4 linked regions of the Macaca mulatta genome follow. The protein of the gene in region 1 interacts with the protein of each later gene in a pairwise test. Links are inferred from orthologs where the notes say so. Each region holds a gene or a part of one and is shown in the gene's direction. Other genes may lie near its edges. The genes, in order: SUV39H2, RASSF1, APPL2 and PNMA1.

Region 1 (7,473 bases):
TATCCAAGGTCTCACAGTAAATAAATGGTGGATTTCGAACTAACATTCAGATGCTTATTTTGTAAACTTAATTTTTCTTGATTGCTTACTATTCTAAGCACATTACATGCATTATTTCATTTAAATTCACATTCTTAATCTAGTGTTCATTCTACGATTCTTTGCCTCTCAGAAGAGAACGTTTATTTCAGTAGAAGAGGAGACACTCCAGAAATCATGTGGTTTTTGTGAAAAAAATACTGGGAAAGGGTCATGACTCTCTACTTTTCCCTTGAGGACTCTGGTGTGTGTCTCTCAGTGGCTTTTTATTTCTCTCTCCATTTATAGCCAGGATTTACCAAGACCCTCAAATATTTCAGTCCCAGGACCCCCTTACAGTCTTAAAAATAACATTTGGAGAACCCAAAGAGTTTTTGCTTGTTACATATACATAAAATGTAATTATATAACTATATAAGTAGTTACCATATGGAAATTAAAACCAATTTTAAAAATTATTTCTAAGTAACATAAAAGTTAATATGAATAACATTTTTATGAGAAATAACTTTTCTAAGACAAAAATTTAGTGGCAAGGGTGATATCTAGGGTTTTATTTTTTGTTTTTTGTCTTGAGACAGGGTCTTGCTCCGTTGCCCAGCCTGGAATGTAGTGGTTTGATCATAGCTTACTACAGCCTCAAACTCCTGGGCTCAAGCGATCCTCCCATCTCAGCTTCCTGAGTAGCTGGGACCACAGGCACCTGCCAACACGCCCAGCTAATTTTTTATTAGGGTTGCCCTGGCTAGTCTCAAGCAGTTCTCCTGCCTCAGCCTCCCAAAGTGCTAACATTATACGTGCGAGCCACTCTGCCTAGCCAAAAGCAGTATTTTGTATTTTTTCAAGTCTCTTTAATGTCTGGCTTAATAGAAGATAGCTATGTTCTGGTATCTGCTTCTTCGTTCAACGTGTTGCAATATTCAAATTGTGTAACCTCTGGAAAATTCCACTGTGTACTCATGAGCCAAGGCAGGCAGGGAACATGTTGGTCTGAAAATAGTTCTGTGCTCATGAACCCTCTGAAGGGTCTTGGGGTCCCCATTACCATACCTGGAGAATTCCTGCTCTAGATAGTAAACACGGTGCTGAACGTTGGACAGACAGGACCTCATCTATGCGCTGGAATGGATGAGGTTCAAGACGAGAAACAAAGGAAACACTGAATTTACAAAATGGTGCCATACATTCATTACGTAAGTTTTTACTGAAACTAATCAAGACCAAAGAACAAAAACTAGACAAGATAATTGCAAATTTTGATAAGTGCTTTTTAAGGATTCCAAGTAGGGCTAAAGAATTAGGTAACATGCGAGGCCTCTGTCAATAGGTGGCGTTTAAGCTGAGACCCAAGTGATCTGAAGGTAGCCATGTAAGGAGGGGAAGGAGCCTGTCCTCTGAACCGGAAAGTAATTTACAGCTGCCTTCAGTGATTTGCTTTATCCGCTGCTCCTCTCACTGGGAAGTCAGCTCCCTGAGGACTGGGTCTTTTGTCTTTCTCATCCGCTGCTATATTCCCAGCACCTATCAGGTGCCTGGCACATAGGAGATGCACAGTAAAAGATTTCTGGGTGAGTGGGGCCGAGGAAAGGCCTGGAGAATAATGAGTAAAGGGGAGTGGCACAAAGTGAGGTTAGAGACAGGATTCCAATCACTGGAGGTTTGAGTTTTATTCTGAATGTGCTGGGAAGTACTTAAAGCGGGGGGAAAGGCCTGTTCCTCTTTATATTTTAGGGTCATTTTTTCAGCTGCCTAGAAAATGGATTGAATGGGAGCAGTGGTGGAAGTGAAAACAGTTCAGCTGTTGTAGGACTTCAGTCGAGCAATGATGGCCTGGACTAAGGTCCAGAAGTGTATTTTTCTGGATATGTTCAATTGGAGATGTTTGTGCAACACCTAAGGGCATATGTCCATTAGGCACTGTGGATATTCTAGCCTGGAATTCAGGGCAGAGGCCAGGGTTGGAGACAAAAAGTTAGGAATCTTGTGTCAAGATGCAATTTAAATCCATGGGAATCGGGGCAGTCACATAGGGAGAGGGCGGATGAGAAATGCAGTCCCAGGGCTACAGTCCCTTCCCTGAGGAACCCAGGCTGGACTGAGGAAAAGGAGCCAAAAAGGGATTCAGGAATGACCAGTGAGTAGCGAAGGCCGCTCCTTGGAGGGCTCTGAAAACATACAGGAGAGGCAATGAGTGCTTGGGGTCGGTTAGGACGGGAGGCTGTATCTTCAAGGGCCTGAAGGCATAATCCTAGATAGACTACGCCTTAAAGGGCCTGGATGCTCTTCCAGGTGATAGGGTTGGGTAGGGCCTTTTATTCCTTATATCAAGGTAGTGAGATGCTCATCGTAGAAAATGATTAAATATGTAAAAACGAGAAGTTAAAATCACTTCGAAAGGCTGTATTTCGTTATTTTCCTATACATTTTTTTCCTAGTTAAAACTATATTTCAGGGGGATTTGTTTTGTTTTTGCTTAACACTAAAAGCTTCATGAACATCTTTTTAAGACGGCTAGACAGTATTTCATAATGGAATCAAATAACCAGTCCTTTAATGGTCTGCGTTTAAGTCCTTAGTAGACATCAAATGGCTTTCTGCCAGTTTTCGTTATTTGCTCTAAGATTTCTGCTTTAGGTTGTTTAAAACAGTCATATGGATGCGGCGTCAAGAATGGCTGGGGGGAGGGGGTGGAGACCAGGTGGGAGGCCCCCGGAGTCGCCCTGCAGCCTCCTTACCAACAAGTCCTCTTCCTCCCGGCCCCCACCCGTCAGCAGGCCGAGCTCAGGAGCTTGTCAACAACACGGGAGGGGGGCTCGGGTCTCCTTACAGACCTACCCAGTCCCAATTTACATTAAAAGTTGAGCCCAGGAGGTCGAGACTGCAGTGAGCCGTAATCGCGCCACTGCACTTGAGCTTGGTGACAGAGTGAGACCCCATCTCTCAAAAAATTCCAAGTCCGCACCTCCCCCCCACGACGATTCGTAAACCCCTTTTAAGTGTGAGAAGCACTGATGGAGACTGGCGGTTTCAGCTGTGCCGCACATTAGGATCAGCTGGGAGCTGGGCAGCACAGGCCACACCCCACACCAACCAGTCGGAATCCCGGCGACTGCACCAAGCCAGCGGAACCTCTCCAGCCGTGCCCATGTGCGGCCGCTTCCGAGGCCCGGTGCTCTAGGGAAGTGGGGTCGGGGGGAGCCTAACCATGGCCCGCCGAGCTGCGGTGGCTGCGGAACCGGACCCGAAAGGCACCGTCCCTGGCCGACGTCCTCCCGAGTGAATGCGCCAAACGGGCCTGGCGCAGGGTATGGGCGCCGGACACCGCAGAGCATCCCAAAGCACGCGCGCGCGCTCGCTCCGCCCCGCTCGGCTCCTCGCTTTTGGGGCCGGGCCTACCCTTGGGGCGCAGGCGCGCTGACCGCCGCGGCGGGGGGTCGGCCGCCAGTGACGTCAGGACGCCGTGCGGGTTCCATCCCCCCTACAAGCCCCGGCCCCCAAGTCCCGCGCGGGCCGGCCAGGGGCGGGGCGTCGGGCCAGCTGAGCTATCCCGTCAGACCGCGCCAGTTTGAATGAAAGCTCCACAAGATGGCGGCGGTCGGGGCCGAGGCGCGAGGAGGTGAGGCTGGAGCGCGGCCCCCTCGCCCTCCCCGTTCCCAGGCAAGCTCCCAAGGCCCGGGCGGCGGGGCCGTCCCGCGGGCCAGCCAGACGGCGACGTGGCGGTTCCCCGGCCGCCGCGCCCCCGACTCCGGGACGCACGCTGCGGGCGCCTACCCTCCCCCAGGCCGCTGACCCGCCTCCCTGCCCGGCCGGCTCCCGCCGCGGAGGTGGGCACTGCGCGAGCCTGGGGCGCTTCGGCTGCGGAGCGTGGCCTCTCCGCCCGCTCGGCCCGGCCCCCTTGGCGTCTCCCGTGGTGGCTTCGGGGGTCGGGGCCGCTCCCCGGCGGTCCCCGGCTGGAGGTCCCGGGGGCCCGGCTGCGACTGGCTCCTTTGTGGTGGTTCGAGCGCGGCGTGCGGCATGCGCCCGGGCCTTTGAAGTGGGAGGCGGGAAGCGACGCCCGCCGGCGTGAACATGACCTTAATATCAGAGGGGGAGAGGAAATCGGGGCTCCTGTGTGCTAAGGGGATAACCGAGGAACCCCCCCCCCACAAGGCGGACACGCTAGGAGGTTGAGTGCCTCGTTGGAGAGTCGCCCAGAAAGTGGGTATTTGAGGTTGCAGCCTCTGGCTTACGGTAACTCTTCCACCCACCGGGAGCTTGGTGTTATTTCTGTGGACGCTGGGGAATTGGGCACCGAGCGTGCGTGGGTGTGGGCGTCGGGGGGTGTTGGTGTCGCGCACGCTTTGAGAGCCTGGAACTTTTCCGTGCGTTCTGGAATGTAAAGGTGTTTTCAAGCTCGCCTCCTCTCCACTTGGATTATGACCTCATTATCCCCGAGTTTTTCTTCCTTGGAGAATGTCAGGGGTTACTGTGAACTAAGCTAGCGGAAGGTGTTTGTGGTGGTCATGAACTATTTAATTTTGTCAGTGAAATATTTTTCTACATTACTGGAGACTTGAGAGATTGTCGTTTTGCTTTTTTTTAACCACGTGTTTGCAGTTTTTCATGTTCACTTTTTTTTTTCCTTTAAATTCTCGAAGAGCATTTCCTTTGCGGGTTGTGTTTTGAATCCTCAACTAGATAAAAATGTTTAGGAAAAGCACACAAACACACCTTGGGTAGATACTCAAGAGGAACCACCTTTATACGTGATCCCCTTAGTGAGGTCAGCTTAACACAAAACGTCCTCTAGTTTTTTTAGATGGAAGGGACTTACGGGGTCATTTCTCTCCTATCACTGTCCTACCCCCAAACGACCACTCCAAAGCAATCGGCCTCTTCCCCCACGTTTTCTGGAGGAAAATACCTTTCTCTTTACTGCTTTAGGATGGAGTCGTTTGCAGCCAGTGAGATGGTGGAAATTATGCTTAAGGGTTTCTGACAATGAAGTAGTCTCTGTGTGAGGTGGGGAGGATGAGGAAAGGGTGCAGGAAAAGTTATTGCTGCTAACAAGTGTTCTCCCTTTCCTGAAATTACCTCAAAACATAAAAGGTGATCGCAACTACCTTGGAGAGCTACCAAGTAAAGCTTGAGTTTACTGATAGATTTTGTTTGGTAACACCAGTTTTCTCCATTTTTTTCCAGTGAATGTGACAGCCAGACAGATTGAGACCTCACTAAAGTCACATAGCTCGGTGGCTGAGCGATGGGTAGGGCAGAGGACTTTTGATCCTGTCTAGTGCTTACCATGACACTAGCGCTAACACCAAGTTTGTTCCATTTTCCTAAACGTGTTTGTTAATTTACACTTTAAATTCAGTGTGGTAACATGCTACTTACAGAAATTTGAGGGTCAAATCTTCTGGAACACAATTAGTTTCTGGCTTCTGGAGGGTTGATGATAAGTATGTCTAATTTTCTTTGAGTTTAGTACATGGCTTATGTAAATTGAACACCGTTTTAAAAGTTTGGCTTTAAAAACAATACAGTCAATAAGTATTACAAAATATCAATATACTCTCCATTTTTTTAATAACTCGAGTTTATTCACCTTGGTGATAATATATTGCAGTATGGGTAAAATAATAAGTGGAATTAAAGCTTCATGCAACATTTCAAAGAGAAAACTAACATATGAGTTTGTAACGTAGAAATATATTTTTATTAGATTTCAGTTTTGTCCAGTTAAAAAAAAATGAGTTATGTGTTAACGAATTATAATGTTGTTTTAAAGTATATTTTAGATGTGTTTTTAAGAATAAGTGTCCTAGAGATTTACATTTTATTAAAATAGTGATTATAGTCTATGTAGAATACAATGAAAGTAAGAAACACTACCTCTGTTGACCTGCATCTGCATATAATTTTTAAAAAGCTTACAGACATGAAACATTTTCGAGTGACTTAATGGAAATCAACTGATGTCAGTTAAACATAGTGGAGTAGAAATCCATGAGAAAATCCAAGAACACCAATTTAACGAAATAGTTCCTTAATGTTTAACTTTTTCTTGAAGACGCATAATTGGTTTCTTGTCATAGGAATTTTTAGTCTAAAATTGCCAGTTGAAAGTTGGGGAATAGAGGGTTTTTCTCTTTTTTATTTTAATTGAATAGCTATTTCATTAGTAAAGAATTCTATTTTCTTATTGTAGCTTGGTGTGTGCCTTGCCTAGTTTCACTTGATACTCTTCAGGAATTATGTAGAAAAGAAAAGCTCACATGTAAATCGATTGGAATCACCAAAAGGAATCTAAACAATTATGAGGTGGAATACTTGTGTGACTACAAGGTAGTAAAGGTAAGGCAAATGTCTAGCCCCTTACAAGAGACCTAATCAGACTTCAGTATTTCATATTTCTGTAACAAAAAAAGAACCTTAAAAGTAAGAAAAGCTCTTCTTAATGTTTAAAAAATTCTAAGCCATAATAAATTTATGTGTCCTGTCATCTGTGTTGCCAAATAGCATTGAGAGGATTTTGAAGCTTACAATGTTCTTGCATTAGAATATTTTAGTGCTCGTATTAGTGCTCATATCACTCTACATCCAACTCTTGATTATCTCCATGTGGGTTACCAGAGCAAATGTTTGATCTCCAATTGTCTTTCGTTTTGTTCCTGGATCATATTTCCCCACTATCACCTGAAATGAACCTACCGTTTCAAACCAATTTTAGTGTTATTGAATCTCAAGAACATCACCATTTGCATTTCCTGCCATCCTGTCAAACTCCAGATTTAGTCAGGTTCTAGGTTATAACAGAATGGCCTGGATTACGAAGTCATTTCCAGCTTTTGTTTAGTGCCTTAGAACTTAAGCAAACTCGTTTCACTTCTCTAAGCCTGCCTTTATTGCTCTTAAAAAATGGCAGAGTTGTTCTCTAAAGATATTTTGATCTAAACTTTATATTTTTGAGTAATTCATCTGTCTATAGCCTACCTCTCTTTCCAAGAACTGTTTTGGTCATTAATCTACCAATTCTATTGATAAGTGAATCGGGAATCCTGTTTAAGTCTTTGTTTTCCTCCTTCATCTTCTATATTGAATCAGTCACTAAATCCCATTCTTTCAAGTTCCTTTAGTATCACTGCCTTCCCCGCTCAGTGGGATCTTATGCTCGTGCATTTCACCGGCACTCTCAGCATCCTTCAGCCCCTGAAACAGCCCCAGTCATCTGCCATCTCAGTTTACAACCTATGGACTGACCAATCCAGCTGAGCATATTATACAATCATGCATATCAGCCCCATTATAACTTATTTCTGTTCTCACACTGCTCAGTTCTACCTGACGAGCTTTTAATCTTGCTTGCTTTTCCCATTCTTGTCAGCAGGTTTTCCAACTTGTGTTACTTTTCTGGGTTTCTTACTCTACCCATTTCTTGTTTTCTGCTGAAGA
Region 2 (6,753 bases), on another chromosome or scaffold:
AAGGGAGGTTGTATCTGTGTGGGGAGGGCATCAGACACAGAAAGTTTCCCTCCCCCTTTCCCCAGGAGGTGTGTGAGTCAGCAGAAGACACTGTCTTGGACTTGGTAGACTATTGCCACCGCAAACTGACTCTGCTGGTGGCCCGGAGTGGCTGTGGTGGCCCCCCTGAAGGGGAGGGGTCCCAGGACAGCAACCCCATGCAGGTGGGTTGAGGTTACCTAGGATTGTGAAAGCCTAGGTCTGGGTTCCCCAAGGCCTGCACAGGCAAGGGTAGCCCAGCATGAACACTGTGTGACCTCGCAGGAGCTGCAGAAGCAGGCAGAGCTGATGGAATTTGAGATTGCACTGAAGGCCCTCTCAGTACTGCGCTACATCACAGACTGTGTGGACAGGTGGGCAGTCCGACTGGGCCTGGGCCTACCGTGGAGGGCTGGAAGACTGGGCCTGTAGCCTGCCTCTGCTCACCTCCTTCACAACGTCCCTGCCCCTAGCCTCTCTCTCAGCACCTTGAGCCGTATGCTTAGCACACACAACCTGCCCTGCCTCCTGGTGGAACTGCTGGAGCATAGTCCCTGGAACCGGCGGGAAGGAGGTAGGGTCCTCCCACACCAGCCTAAGCCCCAGGCTACTGCTTCAGGATATCTTTTTGATAGAGGGGGCAGTTTGCACACACGAAGACAAACCCCGTCCCCAAGCCCATCTGAGGATACCAGGATGCCTCAGCCAAGAGTGGCCTAGACCTGAGCTCTGCAGCAGGCCAGGCCCATGTGTCCACTACTGAGGCTCACTCTGCTCTGGGGTCAGCAGCACTATAGCCTGGGCAAGTCCTGTGGCCCAGGTTCTCCCACCATTCCCAGGCAGTGGTCAGTCTCCCAGGCCCCACAGCTGGCTCACTTGAAGAGAATGCAATGCCTGTACCCAGTGTGCTGGTTCCTCTCCCCAGGCAAGCTGCAGCAGTTCGAGGGCAGCCGTTGGCATACTGTGGCCCCCTCAGAGCAGCAAAAGCTGAGCAAGTTGGACGGGCAAGTGTGGATAGCCCTGTACAACCTGCTGCTAAGCCCTGAGGCCCAGGCGCGCTACTGCCTCACAAGTTTTGCCAAGGGACAGCTACTCAAGGTCGGACTCCCTCTGCACCAGCCCCCACAGCCCCAGCACCGCCCTCCCCATCCTACCCTGACCCTGTCCCTGCTGTTTATCTTTGCCCACCCACCTCAAACCCCGTGCTCTTTTCAGTCCTTGGGCCTCAGGTGACACACCAGCTAGTGGGACATGGACCCCCACAGGCATGCTCAGCCCAACCCAGCCCCTTCCTTTTCCGTGGCCCCCTGGCCAGCACCTGCATCACACTGGCCTCCACTGGACACTCTTGCAGCTTCGGGCCTTCCTCACAGACACACTACTGGACCAGCTGCCCAACCTGGCCCACTTGCAGAGTTTCCTGGCCCATCTGGCCCTGACTGAAACCCAGCCCCCTAAGAAGGACCTGGTGTTGGAACAGGTAGACACTGGAAAGTTAGCTCCTCAGGACCACTGTCCTACTTTACCAGCACCTTCCTGCCACTCTCCACTCCTTTCCCTAGATCCCAGAAATCTGGGAGCGGCTGGAGCGAGAAAACAGAGGCAAGTGGCAGGCAATTGCCAAGCACCAGCTCCAACATGTGTTCAGCCCCTCACAGCAGGACCTGCGGCTGCAGGCACAAAGGTAAGTCCTGTGGAACTGGCAGGAGGAGTGGATGGGATGCAGGAGGCATGGATGTGGGCAGGGATGCCCCCACCTTCCAAGGCCAGTCAGATCTTCCTGACTTTCCCCCAGGTGGGCTGAGACCTACAGGCTGGACGTGCTAGAGGCAGTGGCTCCAGAGCGGCCCCGCTGTGCTTACTGCAGTGCAGAGGCTTCTAAGCGCTGCTCGCGATGCCAGAATGAGTGGTATTGCTGCAGGTGAGGGTATCCTAGGACCTTGGACCCCTAAGTCCTACTGCCACATCCCCCACATGCACTGCCCTCCTCAACACCCACCTGCCTGCAGGGAGTGCCAAGTCAAGCACTGGGAAAAGCATGGAAAGACTTGTGTCCTGGCAGCCCAGGGTGACAGAGCCAAATGAGGGTTGCAGTTGCTGAGGGCCAACCACCTATGCCAAGGGAATCCACCCAGAATGCACCCCTGAACCTCAAGATCACGGTCCAGCCTCTGCCGGAGCCCCAGTCTCCGCAGTGGAGAGCAGAGCCAGCGGTAAAGCTGCTGACCCATCCCCCTCCTCCCCACCCCAAGGGAAGGCTCGAGACTTCCTGCCCCACCTGGTGGGCAGGCCAAGTGCGTTGCCTCAGCAAACTGGGCCAGGAGGGCGAAGGCCGGATGTGGGGACCCTCTTCCTCTAGCACAGTAAAGCTGGCCTCCAGAAACACGGGTATCTCCGTGTGGTGCTTTGCGGTCGCCGTCTTTGTGGCCATCCGGGGTGGGGTGTGAGGAGCGGACGAAGGAGGGAAGGAAGGGCAAGGCGGGGGCTCTGCGAGAGCGCGCCTAGCCCCGCCTTCGGGCCCCAGAGTCCCCGCACCCAGGTTTCCATTGCACGGCTCTCCTCAGCTCCTTCCCGCCTCCCAACTTAGATCCTGGGGGCGGTGCTGACGTCGGGGCCCGCCCTGTGGCCCCGCCCGGCCCGCTCTTGCTAGCGCCCAAAGCCAGCGAAGCACCGGCCCGACTGGGCCATGTCGGCGGAGCCTGAGCTCATTGAGCTGCGGGAGCTGGCACCCGCTGGGCGCGCTGGACAGGGCCGCACCCGGCTGGAGCGTGCCAACGCGCTGCGCATCGCGCGGGGCACCGCGTGCAACCCTGCACGGCAGCTGGTCCCGGGCCGTGGCCACCGCTTCCAGCCTGCGGGGCCCGCCACGCACACGTGGTGCGACCTCTGTGGCGACTTCATCTGGGGCGTCGTGCGCAAGGGCCTGCAGTGCGCGCGTGAGTAGCGGGCCCCGCGCGCCTACGAGAGCGGAAGGGGCAGCCAAGGGGCAGCGCCGTCGCCGCGGGTCAAGTCGCGGCAGAGGTGGTCGGTGGGGACAGCTCCCGAGGACTAGGTCCGTTACTTTCGCCCCATCGCTGAAGAGTGCGCGAAAATGGTTTATCCCTTGTCGCACTCCACTCGTATATGGGGCACAGATGAGCAGAGGTGGCAGCTTATATGTAAAAATATGCTGATTTCAAGTTTCTTATCTTTAAAATGCCTTGGCCTTTCTTGAGAAAGGGTTTGTGCCTACTGTCCTCGGAGTCCATCTTCCCAGGCTTGCCTCTTCTCAAACATTCACTCACTGTGACCCCCTCCAGAACCTTTGGGGTGAAGGGAAGTTACCCACCTATGGGAGGGAGCCTGGAAAAAGTTAGAACCTTGGGTGTGCCCCCTGCAAGCAGGAGTTTTGTTGAGTATTTAGCAAACACCCTTGAATCAGAAGCTAAAATATGGAAGGCAGCCACACACCCAGCAGTCCTTCTGCACCCCTGGGAATCGCCAGCAAGCAAAGGTTGCTCTCCCCTAGCTAGACACCAGCTGGAATCACCAGGGGCGCTTTTACAGCCCTCCCACCCTCTAGCCTGGATGCCACCTCAGACCCATTGAATCAGCTGCTGGGAGTGGACTCAAGGCAGCAGTAAATTTTTTTAAATCCCCAAATTATTGTAACATGGAGTCTGGGTTGAGCATCAGTGCTCTGACCCATTTAGGAACTAGTGGATAGATGGTGTCCCAGGTCTGTATGTGCATGGAGACCCTCTCATCTGGTACAAGAGGACATCACAAATTCAGCTGGGGGGAGCACAAAGTTGTGACAGAATACAAAGAATAAACAAGGGCCGAGCACGGTGGCTCAGGCCTGTAATTCCAGTACTTTGGAAGGCCAAGGCGGGTGGATCACCTGAGGTCAGGAGTTCAAGACCAGCCTGGCCAACATGGTGAAACCCCGTCTCTACTAAAAAATACAAAAAAATTAGCCAGGCGTGGTGGCGGGTGCCTGTAATCCCAGCTACTCAGGAGGTTGAGGTGGGAGAATTGCTTGAACCCAGGAGGCGGAGGTTGCAGTGAGCTGAAATCACGCCACTGCTCTCCAGCCTTGGGGACAGATTGAGACTGTCTCAAAAAAAAAAAAAAAGAAAGAAGGAAGGAAGGAAGAAAAAGGCTGGGACACTGCAGCATTCTCAAAGAGAAATAAAGTGGCCATAGAGATAAGAAGCAGGATGATTTGGGCATGTTTATCAGAGGTAGAGACAAGGGAGGAATCAACGATAAGTTTGGGTTTTTGTTTCCAGTAACCGGGAGCATAGTGGCCATTTTTGCTGCAAAGAGGAAGCTGGGCAAGGGTAGCAGTGAGGTGGAAGAAAAGGGAATTAAATTTTGGCCATGTTCACTTGAAACGTCTTTTAGACATCCTAGTGAAGGTACTGGCACGGAGGATCTAATCTGAGGGTTTAGGTCAGTGTTTCAGCTGTGGATCTGGGGCAGAAGATTGTGTAGACAGACCAGGCCAGCGATCAGGACTGAGCCCAGACTTCATCATGAGATACGGAAGTTGAGTCAGAATCTGCAAAGGAGCTGAGCAGGAGCTGCAGGGGGGGTAGGAGGAAAACTGGCAGTGTAGCCCCTGGGAGTCAAAGGGAGCAAGCTTCAAATGATGCTGAGTGGGTGAGAATGGAGAATGGAACACTGCATTCCATTTGGCAGCGCATAGATCGCTGAGGACCCTGTCCTGGGCAGTTTCCTGGAGGGAGAGGCAAGCCTGGCTGAAGTGGGTAGATGGGAGAGTGAAGGCGAAGGATTAGAGTGTATAGAGACCAATGTTTTGGTCTGAGGGGAGTACAGACAGATGACAACCAGAGGGCAGAGGTAGGTTAAAGGTGTTTAGTTTTTCCTTCAAGTAAATGGGCAGATGTATTCCATAGAAGTTCCCAATGAAGGGCCGGGCGCGGTGGCTCACGCCTGTAGTCCCAGCACTTTGGGAGGCCGAGGCGGGTGGATCACCTGAGGTCACGAGTTTGAGACCAGCCTGGCTAACATGGTGAAACCCTGTCTCTGCTAAAAATACAAAAATTAGCGGGGCGTGGTGGCGGGCGCCTGTAATTCCAGGTACTCGAGAGGCTGAGGCAGAAGAATCGCTTGAACCCAGGAGGCGGAGGTTGCAGCGAGCCGAAATCGCGCCATTGCACTCCAGCCTGGGTGACAAAAGGAAGACTCCGGTTTTTGGTTTTTTTTTTTTAATTGCCAATGAGGAAAGGGGAAGCTCTGTGCTAGGCGACAGAGATCCCAACTGTTGAGCAGGCCTCTGCTGTGGCCTTCCGGCCGGTTTCCAGACACCCAGGGTGGCCAACATTAAAGTCCGCATAGCAGTGTAAGGTAAAACACTGAAGCCGGGCCTGCGGAGCCTGGCGGGCAACGGCCCTCTTCCTGGGGCTTCCCTTCAATCTCCCGGACATTTCCCCGACCTGGGGCTCCTCCGCCTCACGGCTAGGCCTCTCTGCAGATTGCAAGTTCACCTGCCACTACCGCTGCCGCGCGCTCGTCTGCCTGGACTGCTGCGGGCCCCGGGACCTGGGCTGGGAACCCGCGGTGGAGCGGGACACGAACGTGGTGAGCGCGGGGCCGAGGGCGTATGGGAAGGGCGAGGACGGGCAGGCCACAGCGCAGGCATTCTCGAAGACTGCCTGGGTGCTGCGCGCAAGGAGCGTTCTAAGTGCCGATTTCCCGGCGGCAGAGAGAGGCTAATTCTGAGCGAGGGCTGAGAGGGGTGCCTGGATTGCCGGCTCCGCAAGGCCTCCACCGGCTGCTAGCAGACCCCAGCCGCTAGCAGTCCCCAGCCAAGGCGGACGCAGGCTCCGCGCACGCGCACTTCCCGCACCTTCCCGCCCTCGCCTCCGGCCAGAGGCCACCCTTGTGCGCTTGCGCGGACGCTGGCACCCGCCCCGTTCCCTGTGGTAGGTGGGGTCTCTGAGTGGAGCTGCCGGAGCGATGAGGTCATTCCTCGGGGCTAAGTGTGCGTGTCCCCGCCCCGGCGTTCCTCCCCCAATGACACAAGAGCTAGATCCCGGCGATCTACGTTTCAGTCTTAACGGTTGCGGCGCGGCGCTGGCCCGGGCGCACGCGCACACTGACACGCGTACACGCACGCACGCGACCGGGGCGGTGGTTGGTGGCTACGGACGCGCGGGACCAGGGGGACGGGCGGGTGCGGCGATGGGCGAGGCGGAGACGCCTTCTTTCGAGATGACCTGGAGCAGCACGACGAGCAGTGGCTACTGCAGCCAAGAGGACTCGGACTCGGAGCTCGAGCAGTACTTCACCGCGCGAACCTCGCTAGCGCGCAGGCCGCGCCGGGACCAGGTGGGAGCCCGGGGGTGCCGGCGGGGGACGGGAGGCGATTGCTGGAGCTCCGCCCTCCCCGGTCCGTTGCCGCGTCCTGGGTCGGTGGGCAGCCCCACCCTCCCGGCTACGTGGCTCCCCGCGTGTCCTGGCCGGTGGCCTGCCCGCAGAACCGTGTGTAAGACCCCGATTCCACCGCCTCGATACTGGTTGCCTGGGCCCCCATGGTTTCTGTCACAGACAGGTTGAACAGGGAAAGCAGCTGTGTGGCTTGTGGTAAACCTGAGCCGGGCATTATCAAGCTATGACTAAAGCCGACCGAGCAGTCTGGACTAGCACCTCGATTTCCGCGTTCAGATGCTCCTGCTCCCTCCTTGGGGAGACTAGGGGAGGAAGTGGAGAGGGAGGAGTCCTCGC
Region 3 (6,753 bases), on another chromosome or scaffold:
TGGGTAGGAGGACATCTGTGCCCATGCGTGTGAGATGTCGTGGTTTCCTCTTTCTGCAGATCTTAGAGCCTGTGTCTTCCCTTCTTGTCAGCATTTCCATGAACCATTATTAGGCCAACCCAAGTATAGCACCAGCCATCCTGAGAGAACCACAACCCGGGCATTAACGTCAGAGGCTGCGCCTGGGCTACATGGCCTTCTCTGTGCCGGCTGGGGCTGGCTCTGCGAGTCACCCCCTCTGTCTGACAAGCTGTATTTAGCTATGGGGTGACAGGCAGCTGGTGGGGTTTCCAAACTGAACCTTGCAGTACTTGATTTGAATAACTAAAGTACTGTTTTGAGTGCTACTTTTCCTATAAGTTTTCATTTCATGTTGGTGAGTAAATATGACCGCTCTTCTCCAAACCAAGGGGTGGTTTTGCTGCTGCATTGCCATGCATGAGCGGCCAGCCCACCCAGGGAGGCCTCAGAGCAGGATCTGGTGGTGGCCTTGAAGCTGTGCAGCCCTTCCCCGGGGGATGATGCCACAGGTGCTCTGTGCTTTCACGGTGGGGGTGGATTCAGAACCCAGTGGTGGGACTCCAGATAGCACGGCATGGTTTCCAGCCACCCCGCAGAGCTTTATCCCCTAACCCTATAGTGATACAGTTCTACCTTTCTGCAGCTCATATCTATAGATGAACAGATACATAATTGTGTGTGTGTGTGTGTATATACATGCTTTTTTTTTAAATATCTGTGAAGAGAACCAGTTGAAAGCAATTAATTTTAACCATGTTCCTTTGGTTCCCGGGAACCTTGGATGAGCTCCCAGTGTTTGAGCCTGAGTCTGTGTGGGGCAGGGGAGAAGGGGAAGGCAGGTCAGCTACTAAAAATCTCCTGGGGTTGTACGCAAGATGCCACGTTGGTGCCCGTGTCCTTCTGGGGACGGGGTCCTTCTTTTGTATCACATCTTCAAAGAGGTTTCTCACCCATAAAAGCTGACCCTGAGCTCTTGACAGGCTCTTGGTCCCTCCTCCCCATTCTCCCCTCCCCCTTTCTCCTCCCCTGTCCTATGTGCTGAGCTTGGTCTTCCACGTTCCATTCTCTCAGCCAGGGTAGTGACAAGCAGGCGAAGCTAATCAAGTTTGTCCTCCAGCTTACCTGTCCTAAGGCCACCAATGGTAGAGTCCCCCATCATCCCAGTCAAATGTCAGAAAAGCCAAAATTGAGCTGCATTAAAGATGAGGAGCTGACCAGGAGCGGAGGCTCACGGCCATAATCCTAACACTTTGGGAGGCCGAGGTGGGTGGGTCACTTGAGGCCAGGAGTTCAAAACCAGCCTGGCCAACATAGTGAAACCCCTTCTCTACTAAAAATACAAAAATTAGCTGGGTATGGTGGTGCATGCTTGTAATCCCAGCTGTTTGGGAGACTGAGGCATGGGAATCGCTTGAACCCAGGAGGCGGAGGTTGTAGCGAGCCAAAGCAGGAGTCTAGACAGACAGACAGACAGACAGACAGACAGACAGATAGATAGATAGGGAGTGGGGAAATATGGAATGCCCAAGCCAACATTCCTTAATTACAGAAGAGAGAGAATCCTGAGGTGCTCACGTGGAGAAACACTGGCCCCCCGTTTGCTTCTGATTTTAACCCTGTGATTGCCGTGTCTCCTGTGACACAGTGCAGAGGAAGCCTCCTCTAAAGTGTGATTTCTCAGATGGATGGGCCCTGTTGGGCAGACTGTCACAACTGGGTGGGGTGGCCTGGTGAGGTCTAGCTTAGTAGGGGTAAAGGGCAGCCACCATTTCCACACGTCAGCACACACCTCCATGAAAACCAGGGGCTAATGTCCCAGAGCCAGGCCATCTGTCCACTTACCCCTGTGTGGGCAGCCCTCGGCCTGCTAGCCCACGCAGCCTCGGGGCAGATCTGTGGCTGTTAGAAAAGGAAAAGCATTGCCTTTGGCTTTGTGGTTGCACCTTAGTACCACTTCCTGGTCATTTTCCTGTCAGCACCGCTCCTGCCTGAACCAAGAGCAGGGGAGGCCTGACTACCATTTCATTCCTTCCTTCTTGGAACTTGCTTAGGCTGCCTGTGTGAGCAGCCCTGGAGGAGGGGCTTCTCAAAGCTTTTCTCCAAAAATGTGCATCAGCGGTGCTAAGCATGGATACCTCTGTCAGCAGCAAAACTGTTCAGCTGGGTTCAAGCATAGGTCAGTGGCATTCCTTAGGTTCTGTTTTAAAACAGCAGTCATATAGACACATTTACTACTGCAAAATTGAGTCCCTGTGATTCATAGTTTTCAGGGCCTAAGGGTAGAGGGTTGTGGCCTTGTAGGAGGCTGGCAGCTCCATCTGTAAGGCCGGAAGCTTGGCGGGGGTGGAGTGATGGCTGCCAGTGGCTTCTTAGTAGTGCTGGGTTGGCCAGCAGTGAGTAACTGACCCAACACCTTCTGTCTTAAGCATTCAGGTAGAACTGGAAGCCGAGGCGGAAAAGATGCGGGTGTCCCAGCAAGAATTCCTCTCTGTTGATGAATCTGTTTACACTCCAGACTCTGATGTGGCCGCACCACAGATCAACAGGAACCTCATCCAGAAGGCTGGTTACCTTAATCTCAGAAAGTGAGAACGCCACCGTCTGCCTCTTTTTCTGAAATCAGTTTTCCCTAAGAAGTGGCTGAAAAGCAATCTTACATGCCCCATTAAAGTCGGAGGGAGGTGGGCGGGTGAGACTGGGAAGAACTCCCATCACAGCAGCCCTCCCACTTGCAACATAGGAAACCTCTGGGGCCCTAAGAGATGGGGCTGGAATGAGTCCTCTAAGAGCCCGGTGCTGTAGACTCCAGGACACTGTGGCCCACCCTTGTCTCTGGTCACTGTGGCCATGTGCAAACAGACCACTCTTAACTGTTACCATCCTGGACCACTGACATTTTTTATCCCGTCATGCCACTTCCCCCACACCAGCTGGCGGGTGAGAGCCATGTGCTGGAGACCTACCCGCGAGCCAGAGGCAGCGTCAGAAGGCTTTTAGAGTCAGTTCGATTCATACTGATTGGGTCACACATTTACCACTCGGGTCTTTAAGTGTCCATTTTGAATGGAAGGGATGATCAGGTTTAAGTGCTTCTGTGAGCGCAGAGGATATTGTCATGGTGTGGTGTGAAAAGCACTGACTTTGGAATCAGACAGCCCAGCTGGGCTGAGCCTTGATCTCTTCATGTGTAAAATGCAGCTGATAACCGCACCTGCTTTATGAAGTTAGATTGAATGTGTTCATCCCTCCCAGGCAGTGAGCACTCAGATGTCAGCCGCTGCCATTTGGGGAAATTACTGGGACAGGAAAACCAGTGCCTTTGGACATAGTTGCTACTCTGTAAATACTGAGCCAAGTAAAGTATTTGAAAACCCCCAGTGGAGGGTCCATGGAGAGGAACTGCCAGCTGTTAGCAGGCTGGAGCACCTCTAAGGTCTGGGAACTTGCAGCGATCACAAGCTAAATGTCCCCTGGAGTTCTGCAGGCGTAGAAAACCCACTGGGTTCTGTTGTTACTTGCCAGGAACTAGATTTTCCTTTTGTAAGCAGCCCACAAAACAAGAATGACCTTCAGTTAAAGCAAATCTGTTGAGAGCCTCCTAGGACCGGTGGGTGCTGTGGGCGAAGGCAACCGTGAGTAGATTCAGAGCAGCTCAGCTCCAGGTCTCAGAGAAATGATTCTCCAGGTGTTCAGTTCTTCATGGTGGTGGACTCATTCTAGTTCCATCTCCTGGTTTAGTAGTCAGCGTGTGGCTGCAGTGCGGGGTCGGCCCTGGGACTGGTATCTCCCTTGGAAGCAGAGCCCGTGATCTCCCAGATCATTCTAGCTAAATTGTACCCTTCTGCTGCTCTTTCTACTTGAATGGGCAGTTTTGCTTTAACGATATAAAGAAACACATTATTTCTAAAATGCCACCAGTACCCATAACGAGGCAGCAAGACTTAGAGGTGCGGCTGGTGCTTTCTGGTACTAATGGGCTTTTTAAAACACAACCCACAGCAAAACAGGGCTGGTCACTACCACCTGGGAGAGGCTTTATTTCTTCACCCAAGGCGGGAATCTGATGTGTCAGCCCAGGGGAGCCGTGGCTGGAGGTTTGATCCAGGACCTGGACAACTGCTCAGTAATGGCCGTGGATTGCGAAGACCGGCGCTACTGCTTCCAGATCACCACACCCAATGGAAAATCGTATGTCTCACGCGTTTTATTTGGGAGGAGAACGAGTATAGTGGTTTCACCCGTGCCAGGGGCCTCCTAGTTCATTCCTACGTGCCAGCCCTCTGTGGGAGAGGCCCCAGTCTGGGTATTGTTTACCTTTCAGGAGGATGATTTTCTGCTCTCTTTAAACAAGCCCACGTGACCCATAAGGGATCCAGCCTGTCTTATCCCATATGGAGATAAGTGAGGGTTTGTCTGTAGCTTTGGAGATGACCTACATGTGTGAGACAGCAACAGAAGTCGTGCGTGTTAGCACAGATTCTGAGAGAGAGAGAAGGCTGTAGCGACTCCTAGCCTGTTGTAAAGAAGCATTTGTGTTTGGATTGTGGCAGGGGAGGGTAACTGCATTTTGGTAAGGACGACCTTCCTGAGAAGGCCATTTTTCCAGCAGAAGCGGGAGTTGTGAGAAGTACACTCCGCTGCAGCAGTATTGGCGGCTGCCATGCTGTTCCCACACGCCCTGTGTACCTGAGGGGCCCCAAAGAGGTGGTACTTTAACGATCCACAGCCTGTGGTCGTTCACAGTAGATCCCGTCCCAGTGGGATCCCCTCTCAGAGCAGTGGTTTTTAAACTGCCCCAAGGAGTTCAGAGTCCCATGGAGGGGCTTCAGGGTTCACCTGCCTGGGGAGAGGAGTGGCCCTGCCCGTCATCAGAGCTGCTCTTCTGGCATTGCATTCTATTAAGATTTGACGTGAACCGCAGGGGGGCGCGGTGGGGACGGCGTTGGGATGATGTCTGTCCTCCCAGCTTGGCAGAGCAGCTTTAGACCCCGTCCTTCCTGCTTTGGTGATGGGAATGGAGATTCCTGGATGCTCATCATGGTCCTTTGCAGTTACCTCCTCTGGGCCTCACTTTCCTCAGATAGAAAATAGAAGTAAGATCTATGTTGCCCCATCTGCCACAGATGAGAGGAACAAGGGAACCGGCAGATGTGGAGTCTCTTTAAAGAGGTAAAGCCTCGGCCGGGCGCGGTGGCTCACGCCTGAAATCCCAGCACTTTGGAAGGCTGAGGCGGGGGGATCACCTGAGCTCGGGAGTTTGAGATCAGCATGACCAGATGTGGAGAAACCCTGTCTCTACTGGAAATACAAAATTGGCCGGGCGCGTTAGTGGTGGTGGGCGCCTGTAATCTCAGCTACTTGGGAGGCTGAGGCAGGAGAATCGCTTGAACCCAGGAGGCGGAGGTTGTGGTGAGCCGAGATGACACCATTGCACTCCAGCCTGGGCAACAAGAGCGAAACTCCGTCTCAAAAAAAAAAATAGAGTTAAAGCCTCCACAAAGGTAGGGCAGTATTACTGTTACCTTATTCCCAGGCCTCCATATGCAGACTTTTCAGTTCTGGGAAAGGAGTGAATGGGCTGCCAAGTCCTTCTTTGGGCATGGTGGAGGAGTGGCTGGGCTTGGAGTCCTGGTCATCTTGGATCATTAGAGGAGGTCGACAGATGAATCTCACTGTAGAATCAAAGACTTGGGCTAGAAGATCTGAGTCCCACCTTCTGATTTCATAGAAGAATATGCTGAGGCCCAGGGAAAGGGCGTGTTTGTCCAAGATCACACAGTGAATCAGGGAGAGCCAGATCTACAAGCCCGTTTTCTTTTTTTTCTTTTTTTTTTTTTGAGATAGGGTCTTGCCCTGTCACCCAGGCTGGGGTGCAGTGGCACAATCACCACTCACTGCAGCCTCAACCTCCTGGGCTCAATCAGTCCTCCCACTTCAGCCTGCCTAGTAGCTAGGACTATAGGCACACGCCACCACGCCCAGCTAATTTTTGTATTTTTTGTAGAGAGGGGGTTTCGCCATGTTGCCCAGGCTGGTCTCGAATTCCTTGGCTCAAGCCATCCTCCTGCCTCGCCCTCCCAAAGTGCTAGGACTGCAGGCGTGAGCCACTATACCTGGCCCTGGAACCCCATTTTCTTTCCCTCTCATCATGCTGCCTTCGTGGCCCGTTTCCTCCCACACCCCAGCTAAGTTCAGTTTATGTAGAATAATCCCCAGTCACTGAGATCGGGGAAGTACTTAATTACTCAGATGCTTTTGTTTCAGGGGAATAATCCTCCAGGCTGAGAGCAGAAAGGAAAATGAAGAGGTAAAGATTTTGTTTGTCATCCTTCTTTCCTAGTGTGGTGGGTGACTTTGGGATTCAGTATTCTTTTTTAATGTCCTCTACAGTGGATATGTGCAATAAACAACATCTCCAGACAGATCTACCTGACCGACAACCCTGAGGTAATTAACAGTCGCCTGCATCTCAGCCCTTTTCTCAACCTGGAAGGTAAGCATCCACCTCCTGGGACTGAGTGTGTCTTCCTGTGGATTTTTAGGCAGTCGCGATCAAGTTGAATCAGACCGCCCTGCAAGCAGTGACTCCCATTACAAGTTTTGGAAAAAAACAAGAAAGCTCATGCCCCAGGTAACTAAAAGACAAAGGAAAACTTGCTTTTGTGGAGCCAAATTATGGATTAGGAATATGAAATGAGTTGTTGCTTAATCCACACAAACCAAGGCATGTTT
Region 4 (7,485 bases), on another chromosome or scaffold:
TTTGGGTCCTGGAGGCTGCCAAGGGCGCTCCGCCTTGAGCAGGTCCCAGAGAGGCTCAGCCTGCCCGTCCTGGGAGCCAGCGTCCTTGCCTCTGCCCTGACCTCAGCAGCTACACCTAACCCCACCGCACCCCACCCAGTGTCGATATCCACAACCCAGCCCCCAGGCCTGCACGCTGGAGATTTCTGGATCCTTCCCTAGGAGGGAGAGGTCTCCTAACTCGATTGGACAGGAGCCTTCATTCCTTGACTCGTGTCATTTGGGAGCTATTTATTTATTCTTAGTATTTAATTTTTAACATCCTCTCAGGGACCAGGGGCCTCCTGCTTTTCAGAGGCCCAAGTGCATTTATCCCAAAACGAGGCATCTTGACATCCCCCATCCCCCCCGAATTCCCGAGGCCCTAAGGTCCCTCACCTGGTTGCTCTGGAAGCTCTTGCCGGTAGGAATGATAGCAACACTGGAAGAGGGTGGGAAGGTGGAGGGTGTCACCAAAGCCACACAGAGCAAGGGAGATCAAAGGCAGTTCTTGCTGCCCCTTCTCTGGCTGTGCTTTGCCTAAGGGAATTGGCAACAGGCCAGGATTCTAATTTGGTTTATGGGGCCTGGATTGTGGTTTGAAGAAGCCATATTTGGCATGGGTGAAGTGAAAGGGCCAGGAGGTTCTGGAGGCCCCTTCACGTCCAGTCCCATAGCGGGGCTAGAGCGGGGCTCAGCTGTTTTTCTGATCTTACTCAACTGAGTTGTGCAAAAGAAATTCTAAGTGAATGCGCGTATGACAGGTCAATGTATTAGGAAGGAGCCAGAAAGTATTCATACTGCTACTCCTTACGAGATAGCCAAGAAGCGTCAGGTCAGTAACTGGGAGTGGAGAGGGAGTTTTGTTTTGAAACTGTGCACTGTCAGGTATTTTTCAGCATCCATTTATACATTAATGTGGTTCTACAGGACCCCGGCTGTGGAAGTAACAAATTTCTTCTCCCTGCAGACTCTTGGATGACTACCTACATCCCCAACTTCCCGGTTAGTTTCCTCCACAGGTTTCCATGAGCTCAGTATCCCAAGACAGCAAAAATCTGGTATACCCTGTAGAAGCAGGGGGGTAGCAAATTTAGGCTCTCTTCGAAATTACTTGTATAATACGAGTGCCTTCGCAGCTTAGCCCCAAAGTGCTACTTACGTTTCCCAAGGTTTTTTCTATTCAAACCATATTTGGTTTCAGTCCCCTTTATGGACATAGGGTAACAGAAACCTCCATCATTCAGGAGACCCTTTTGTTCAGTGGTAACATCTTGTACTTGGAAAAAAAATTTTTTTTTTTTTGCGACAGAGTCCCATTCTGTCGCCCAGGCTGGAGTGCAGTGGTGCGATCTCGGCTCACTGCAACCTCTGCCTCTCGGGTTAAAGGATTCTCCTGCTTCAGCCTCCTGAGTAGCTGGGATTACAGGCACACACCACCACACCCAGCTAATATTTTTGTATGTTTTTTTTTTAGTAGAGACGGGGTTTTGCCATGTTGGACAGGCTGGTCTTGAACTCCTGACCTTAGGTGATCCACTCGCCTCGGCCTCCCAAAGTGCTGGCATTACAGGCGTGAACCACCGCGCCCGGCCATAAATGTTTAAACAAGAAAGTGATTCTACTCTTCTAAGCGTACAGAGACCAGACCCGGTGAATGTAACTGGGGAAAATCAAGATGGTACCTCTCTGCATTAATCCTGCCAGACACCATATTTTAGGAAGGTCCATGCTCCAGGATGCATTCATGTCTTGGATACAGTGTGAAAATTAAAAAGTTTAGAGGGTAGATGTAATTGTGGCAAGTGACTTGCCAATAAAGTAGGTGCAGCTATAGAAGCTGGCATAGGTATATCCTTAATGGTGCTTTCTCCCTGGGCTTGTCTCTTGTTGTTTTTTTCCCTATATTCAGAGCTCTGAGAAGTGATAAACACCTCCAGCTTTCTTAACATCCTCCCCACACCATCTCACCATATCCATCTCCCAGCATCCATCTGCATTCAGCTAAGGGCGGGAAACTGACCTAGTGCCTGTGCTGCAGACCATTTCTGAGGTCTCCACCCATCCAAGGAGGCAGAGCCATCATTACTGTCCTCCATGCCTTCAGCAGCCCCCCTCACAGCTAAGGTACATACCACCCCTTCTGCCGCGCCCCCTTCCACTCCTGGCACCAAGGTCTTTTGCTGCTTATGTCTAAAGGGATCGCCTATATTTAACTGCCTCAGTGACCTAACCTCTTTCTTCTCATGTGCCAGATGTTAAGATGAAGGAGGAATACAACACATGCTCAAGCCTCAGCTGTTTAGTTGTTTTCACTGGGGCTCGCTTTTCTGGGACGGTATTTATTATCAGACTGGCAAGCCTAACTCCATAGGTTTACAGGAAGTAGGGATATTTTTATAAAACAATTGTGTCCTCCCCACATTTTGCTATGTTAATATTTGCCTCTAACAATTTGCAGCTGTTTCACTTTTTCCTCATTTGTCTCTAAGTTGAAGGCCTTGTTGGAGGGGACAGAGCACAGGAACAGCCTTGACAGTCTGTAATTATTGTACAAATATTTTAATAGCATATAAATAAGTATATTCCTTTTATTTTGAAACAAAAATGATCAGACACTGCCTTTTGTGTGTTTGCTGCCTGTGGCACCCTTTTTGAAAAAGACTGTTACATATTAAAATAGTGTACATACATATAAATATTACCTCTTTTGCTGTACAGTTGTGATAGAGACTGAAGATTTTATTTTTTGTGTGCTTTTTATAAGAAAAAATTAATACACTAAAGAATCTTGCTGATGTGATTGTAATGTACCTATGTAACTTATTTACTTTTGAATGTTCTTCTGTATCTTTAAACCTTTTATTAAATAAGGTTTTAAAAATTCAGAGTTGAATGCTATGTTCTCTCGGGATTTTCACCATCTGGGGTTGATGTAAGTGGGCCTTGTCTTGCTTGCAGGGAGATTACTCGACATTTTTGAGCCATAAGGATTCTCTTTTAGCAGCCTATTGTCGATGCCAGCCAGGAAAAGGAAAATAACACTAATGTTTGCCTGGCTAAAAGATGACTCAGTAGACACAGACAAACAGATGTTTACAAAAGTTTAGACAAGAAAAAGTCTAAACTCAGTATCTCACACAAAAAATGGCGCACTCCGGCTTCATTGGGATAAAATACGCAGGGTGCACAGTGTGGTCAGGGGTAACGGGAAGCCAGGGTTCTGAGGAGAGTATTTTCACGTGCAGGGTGGACTGGCTGGGCAACCCGAGTAGACAAGTCCACCATGAGGGATGCCATGACTTCCAATAGTATCATCTTAAATCCACTCCAGGATTGGGTTATTATTTTTAAAACACGGTGCTTAGCAGTATTTGTTTGCTGTTAAAATGGAAAATTATGAAAAAGGAAATGCGCCATCAGAGAAACAAATGCCCGAGCCCCTCGCTGGCACCATGGCAACCGCTCGACCCCCGCGGGCCGCCGGAGCAGGCGTGATTCGCGCCAGCTGGGGCGCCGTTGCCATGGCGACGCCCGAGCGGCTCCGCCACAGGGGCGGGACGGGGCGGGGCTGACGCCGCTCGCGGGCTGGCCCCATCCTCCACTGCAGCAGTAACGTCGCAGCGGGTTGCGGGTAGGACTCGACGCTGGGGCAGCCGCGCAGCGCCTGAGCCGCTGCAGGCCGCCGCGGCCGCCGCTGCCCACCCTTGCCTGTGCTGTTTCCAGCCTCGCTTCTCCGGCTTTCCTGCTCCTCTGCTGCCTTCGTTTCTGGTCCTCGGCCGTCCTCGCCGCCCGCCCAGAGGAGTCCCCGCGCCCGCCAAGAGGAGTCCCCACGCCCTCCAAGAAGCCGCTCTCCGCTGGCCCGCAGCCGCCGCGACTTCGGCACAGTCTCTCCCTCTGGCTAGTCTCCCAAACGGCCGCTCCTCGCCCGCGGGAAGACCAGGCTGCGACCGCGAACGCCCGATCCTCTCCAGGAGCCGCAGCGAGCGCCCGGCGGGCACGCCCCGCGACCACACCCCGGCTGCTTTCGACCCAGCGCGCCTGCCTTCGCCGCCCGCCCTCGCTCCTTGCCCGCTGCACGACGACGCGACAGCCCGGCTGCAAGCGGCAGACCCGACCGGACCCGGACCCAGACGCAAGATGGCGACGGCCGCGTGACTTCCTCAGCGTCCCCGAGCTCAGCTCCAAGTGTACCTACGGACTGACTGGGGGGGCAGAGAAGGGCGAGATCAGGACTCTGTGTCTTTGTTAGTCGTGAATGCATGAAGCCTACCTCCCTTGGGCCTACTTGGTGGGAGTGTCTGGTATTGTTCTAAGGCCAGGAGTACGGTGAGCCACAGTCTGTTGGTAGAATTGGCGTCTTGATAGTTGAGAAAATGGCGATGACACTGTTGGAAGACTGGTGCCGGGGGATGGATGTGAACTCCCAGAGAGCTCTGTTGGTCTGGGGCATCCCAGTGAACTGTGATGAGGCTGAAATCGAAGAGACCCTCCAGGCAGCGATGCCCCAGGTCCCCTACCGAATGCTTGGGAGAATGTTCTGGAGGGAAGAAAATGCGAAAGCAGCCTTATTAGAGCTCACTGGCGCTGTCGATTACGCCGCGATCCCCAGGGAGATGCCGGGCAAAGGAGGGGTCTGGAAAGTGTTGTTTAAGCCCCCAACTTCTGATGCTGAATTTTTAGAAAGATTGCACCTCTTCCTAGCTAGAGAGGGGTGGACCGTGCAAGATGTTGCCCGTGTCCTTGGGTTTCAGAACCCTACTCCGACCCCGGGCCCAGAGATGCCAGCAGAGATGCTAAACTATATTTTGGATAATGTTATTCAGCCTCTTGTTGAGTCCATATGGTACAAGAGGCTGACACTTTTCTCGGGGAGGGACATCCCAGGGCCTGGAGAGGAAACCTTTGATCCCTGGCTGGAGCACACTAATGAGGTCCTAGAGGAGTGGCAGGTGTCCGATGTAGAAAAGAGGCGGCGGTTGATGGAGAGCCTTAGAGGCCCTGCCGCTGATGTCATTCGCATCCTCAAGTCCAACAACCCCGCGATAACCACTGCCGAATGCCTGAAGGCGCTTGAGCAGGTGTTTGGGAGCGTTGAGAGCTCTAGGGATGCCCAGATCAAATTTCTGAACACTTATCAGAACCCGGGAGAAAAATTGTCTGCTTATGTCATTCGTCTGGAGCCTCTGCTACAGAAGGTGGTAGAGAAGGGGGCCATTGATAAAGATAACGTGAACCAGGCCCGCCTAGAGCAGGTCATTGCTGGGGCCAACCACAGCGGGGCCATCCGAAGGCAGCTGTGGCTTACCGGGGCTGGGGAAGGGCCGGCCCCAAACCTCTTTCAGTTGCTGGTGCAGATCCGTGAGGAGGAAGCCAAGGAGGAGGAGGAGGAGGCTGAGGCCACCCTTCTGCAGTTAGGCCTGGAAGGGCACTTCTGAGTGCCAGAAAAGACAGCTTTAGTGCAGACCTAGATCACAGCTAGTTTTCTTGTCCCTGTGGGGGTCTTACAGATGTGTCTCTGAGTAGTAAAGGCTTAGCCCTGTTCCGTTTTGTTGTTTTTTTGGAGGGGAAGGTTAGTCAGGCCTGAGTATTCATGTAACATTCTAAAATTGTGCAAGCGAGCACCGTGAGCTGCTACAATGCAAGTGGGTCTTGCTGGCTAAAGTGCCAGGTAAAGGGTTGGTTGGACACAGCGCTTAGTGCACGCTGTCATCATGGACATCATAATCAGTTGTGAAAAACACACGAACCTCTGACACTTCCTATTCCACACTGAATGTGAAATTGCATGTGCAGATGTTTACTACGGGGCCTGGCTCACAGGAAGTGTTCAGTAAAAGTATGAACTATTAGATTACTGATAGCGCAGATAGATTTTTCTTTACCATAAATAGTTCCAGATTTATATTGATGGAAGGAAATGTGCATTTATTAGCTATTACTCAACTTTACAATGCAAACATCATATTTCTCATCTTTAAACATGTCGATCAGTTTAATTGAAAAGTATTCTGAGACTGCAAAATGGGGTGTTAAAAAAATACTGCAATTACGGAGCTGTGTAAACCAGTTTCTCATTGCATAAGATACAGATGTAAATTGCATGGAGAGGTTGATATGCACCTGTACAGTAATTCACTTCCCCATTTCAGATCTTTGTCAGAGAATAGTTCTTGTTCATACTGAGTGTTCTAAATTTGAAGTTATATATACAAATTAAAATATTTTAAAAATTCTGTTGTCTTCTCATTTTTCTGGCATGTATAAACATTTTTAGCCTAAGTAAACTCTGTCCTTTTTTCTTATGAAGACTTTGTCATTAAACCATTTATTTTACTCTTAAGCTTTGTATGATACTATGTGAATTTAAATGGCAAGTCCTTTTTTTTCCTTCCCCTCTTGCTGTCATCTTAACATTTTTTTGGTTTATTTTTTAATTTTTTAAATTTTTTATTTTTATTAAGGGCAGAGAGGGTCTTGCTCTGTTGCCCAGGCTGGAGTGCAATGGAGCGATCTCAGCTCACTGCAACGTCTGCCTCCCCCGGATTCAAGTGATTCTCCTGCCTCAGCCTCCTGAGTAGCTGGGATTACAGGCATGTGCCACCACACCTAGCTAATTTTGTATTTTTTTAGTAGAGATGGGTTTCACCACGTTGGTCAGGTTGGTCTGGAACGCCTGACCTCAAGTGATCCACCTGCCTCGGCTTCCCAAAGTGCTGGGATTACAGGCATGAGCCATCTAGTTTTTTCTACTAAAAATACAAAAATTAGCCGGGTGTGGTGGTGGGTGCCTTTAATTCCGGCTACTTGGGAAGCTGAGGCAGGAGAATCACTCTGGGAGGCAGAGGTTGCAGTGAGCCGAGATTGCGCCACTGCACTGCAGCCTGGGCAACAGAGTGAGACTCTTGTCTCAAAAAAAAAAAAAAATCTAGGCCGGGCGCGGTGGCTCACGCCTGTAATCCCAGCACTTTGGGAGGCCGAGGCGGGCGGATCACAAGGTCAGGAGATCGAGACCACGGTGAAACCCCGTCTCTACTAAAAATACAAAAAATTAGCCGGGCGCGGTTGTGGGCGCCTGTAGTCCCAACTACTCGGGAGGCTGAGGCAGGAGAATGGCGTGAACCCGGGAGGCGGAGCTTGCAGTGAGCCGAGATCGCGCCACTGCACTCCAGCCTGGGCGACAGAGCGAGACTCCGTCTCAAAAAAAAAAAAAAAAAAATTTAGAGACCAGATATGGTGGCTCACACTTGTAATCCCAGCACTTAGGGAGGATTGCCTGAAGCCAAGATTTTGAGACCAGCCTGGGCAACACAGACCCAATCTCCACATACATTTTTAAAAATTAGCCAGGCATGGTGGCACAGGCCTGTGGTCCCAGCAGCTCAGGCAGCTGAGGTGGGAGATTGCTTGAGCTCAGGAGGTTGAGGCTGCAGTGCGCCATGATCGCCCCACCGCACTCCAACCTGG

Evidence for each region.
Region 2: the proteins of SUV39H2 (region 1) and RASSF1 interact in a two-hybrid assay, tested with the Homo sapiens proteins (2 studies listed by BioGRID and IntAct). The link is inferred for Macaca mulatta from reciprocal best matches to the Homo sapiens genes SUV39H2 and RASSF1.
Region 3: the proteins of SUV39H2 (region 1) and APPL2 interact in binary tests that used the Homo sapiens proteins (3 or more experiments, as listed by UniProt). The link is inferred for Macaca mulatta from reciprocal best matches to the Homo sapiens genes SUV39H2 and APPL2.
Region 4: the proteins of SUV39H2 (region 1) and PNMA1 interact in binary tests that used the Homo sapiens proteins (3 or more experiments, as listed by UniProt). The two-hybrid records come from large-scale screens. The link is inferred for Macaca mulatta from reciprocal best matches to the Homo sapiens genes SUV39H2 and PNMA1.

The regions. Positions count from the first base shown.
Region 1 is NC_133414.1:16,430,842-16,438,314, forward strand, and holds the start of SUV39H2 (histone-lysine N-methyltransferase SUV39H2), read left to right. Parts: upstream 1-3,601; 5' UTR 3,602-3,624; coding exon 3,625-3,655; exon of another isoform or gene 3,656-4,236; intron 4,237-6,229; coding exon 6,230-6,375; intron 6,376-7,473. UniProt on the Homo sapiens protein: Histone methyltransferase that specifically trimethylates 'Lys-9' of histone H3 using monomethylated H3 'Lys-9' as substrate.
Region 2 is NC_133407.1:113,816,326-113,823,078, reverse strand, and holds part of RASSF1 (ras association domain-containing protein 1), read left to right. Parts: intron 1-65; coding exon of another isoform or gene 66-203; intron 204-303; coding exon of another isoform or gene 304-392; intron 393-491; coding exon of another isoform or gene 492-592; intron 593-857; coding exon of another isoform or gene 858-1,116; intron 1,117-1,372; coding exon of another isoform or gene 1,373-1,498; intron 1,499-1,580; coding exon of another isoform or gene 1,581-1,702; intron 1,703-1,813; coding exon of another isoform or gene 1,814-1,939; intron 1,940-2,027; coding exon of another isoform or gene 2,028-2,103; exon of another isoform or gene 2,104-2,401; intron 2,402-2,663; exon of another isoform or gene 2,664-2,690; 5' UTR 2,691-2,704; coding exon 2,705-2,954; intron 2,955-5,264; exon of another isoform or gene 5,265-5,373; intron 5,374-5,488; coding exon of another isoform or gene 5,489-5,500; coding exon 5,501-5,607; intron 5,608-5,955; coding exon 5,956-6,357; exon of another isoform or gene 6,358-6,753. Other genes in the region: ZMYND10 (zinc finger MYND domain-containing protein 10), read left to right, coding at 66-203, 304-392, 492-592, 944-1,116, 1,373-1,498, 1,581-1,702, 1,814-1,939, 2,028-2,103. UniProt on the Homo sapiens protein: Potential tumor suppressor. Required for death receptor-dependent apoptosis. Mediates activation of STK3/MST2 and STK4/MST1 during Fas-induced apoptosis by preventing their dephosphorylation.
Region 3 is NC_133416.1:112,456,461-112,463,213, reverse strand, and holds part of APPL2 (DCC-interacting protein 13-beta), read left to right. Parts: intron 1-2,447; coding exon 2,448-2,606; intron 2,607-4,020; coding exon 4,021-4,209; intron 4,210-6,285; coding exon 6,286-6,328; intron 6,329-6,411; coding exon 6,412-6,468; intron 6,469-6,563; coding exon 6,564-6,652; intron 6,653-6,753. UniProt on the Homo sapiens protein: Multifunctional adapter protein that binds to various membrane receptors, nuclear factors and signaling proteins to regulate many processes, such as cell proliferation, immune response, endosomal trafficking and cell metabolism.
Region 4 is NC_133412.1:146,882,549-146,890,033, reverse strand, and holds PNMA1 (paraneoplastic antigen Ma1), read left to right. Parts: upstream 1-3,591; 5' UTR 3,592-4,394; coding exon 4,395-5,456; 3' UTR 5,457-6,262; downstream 6,263-7,485.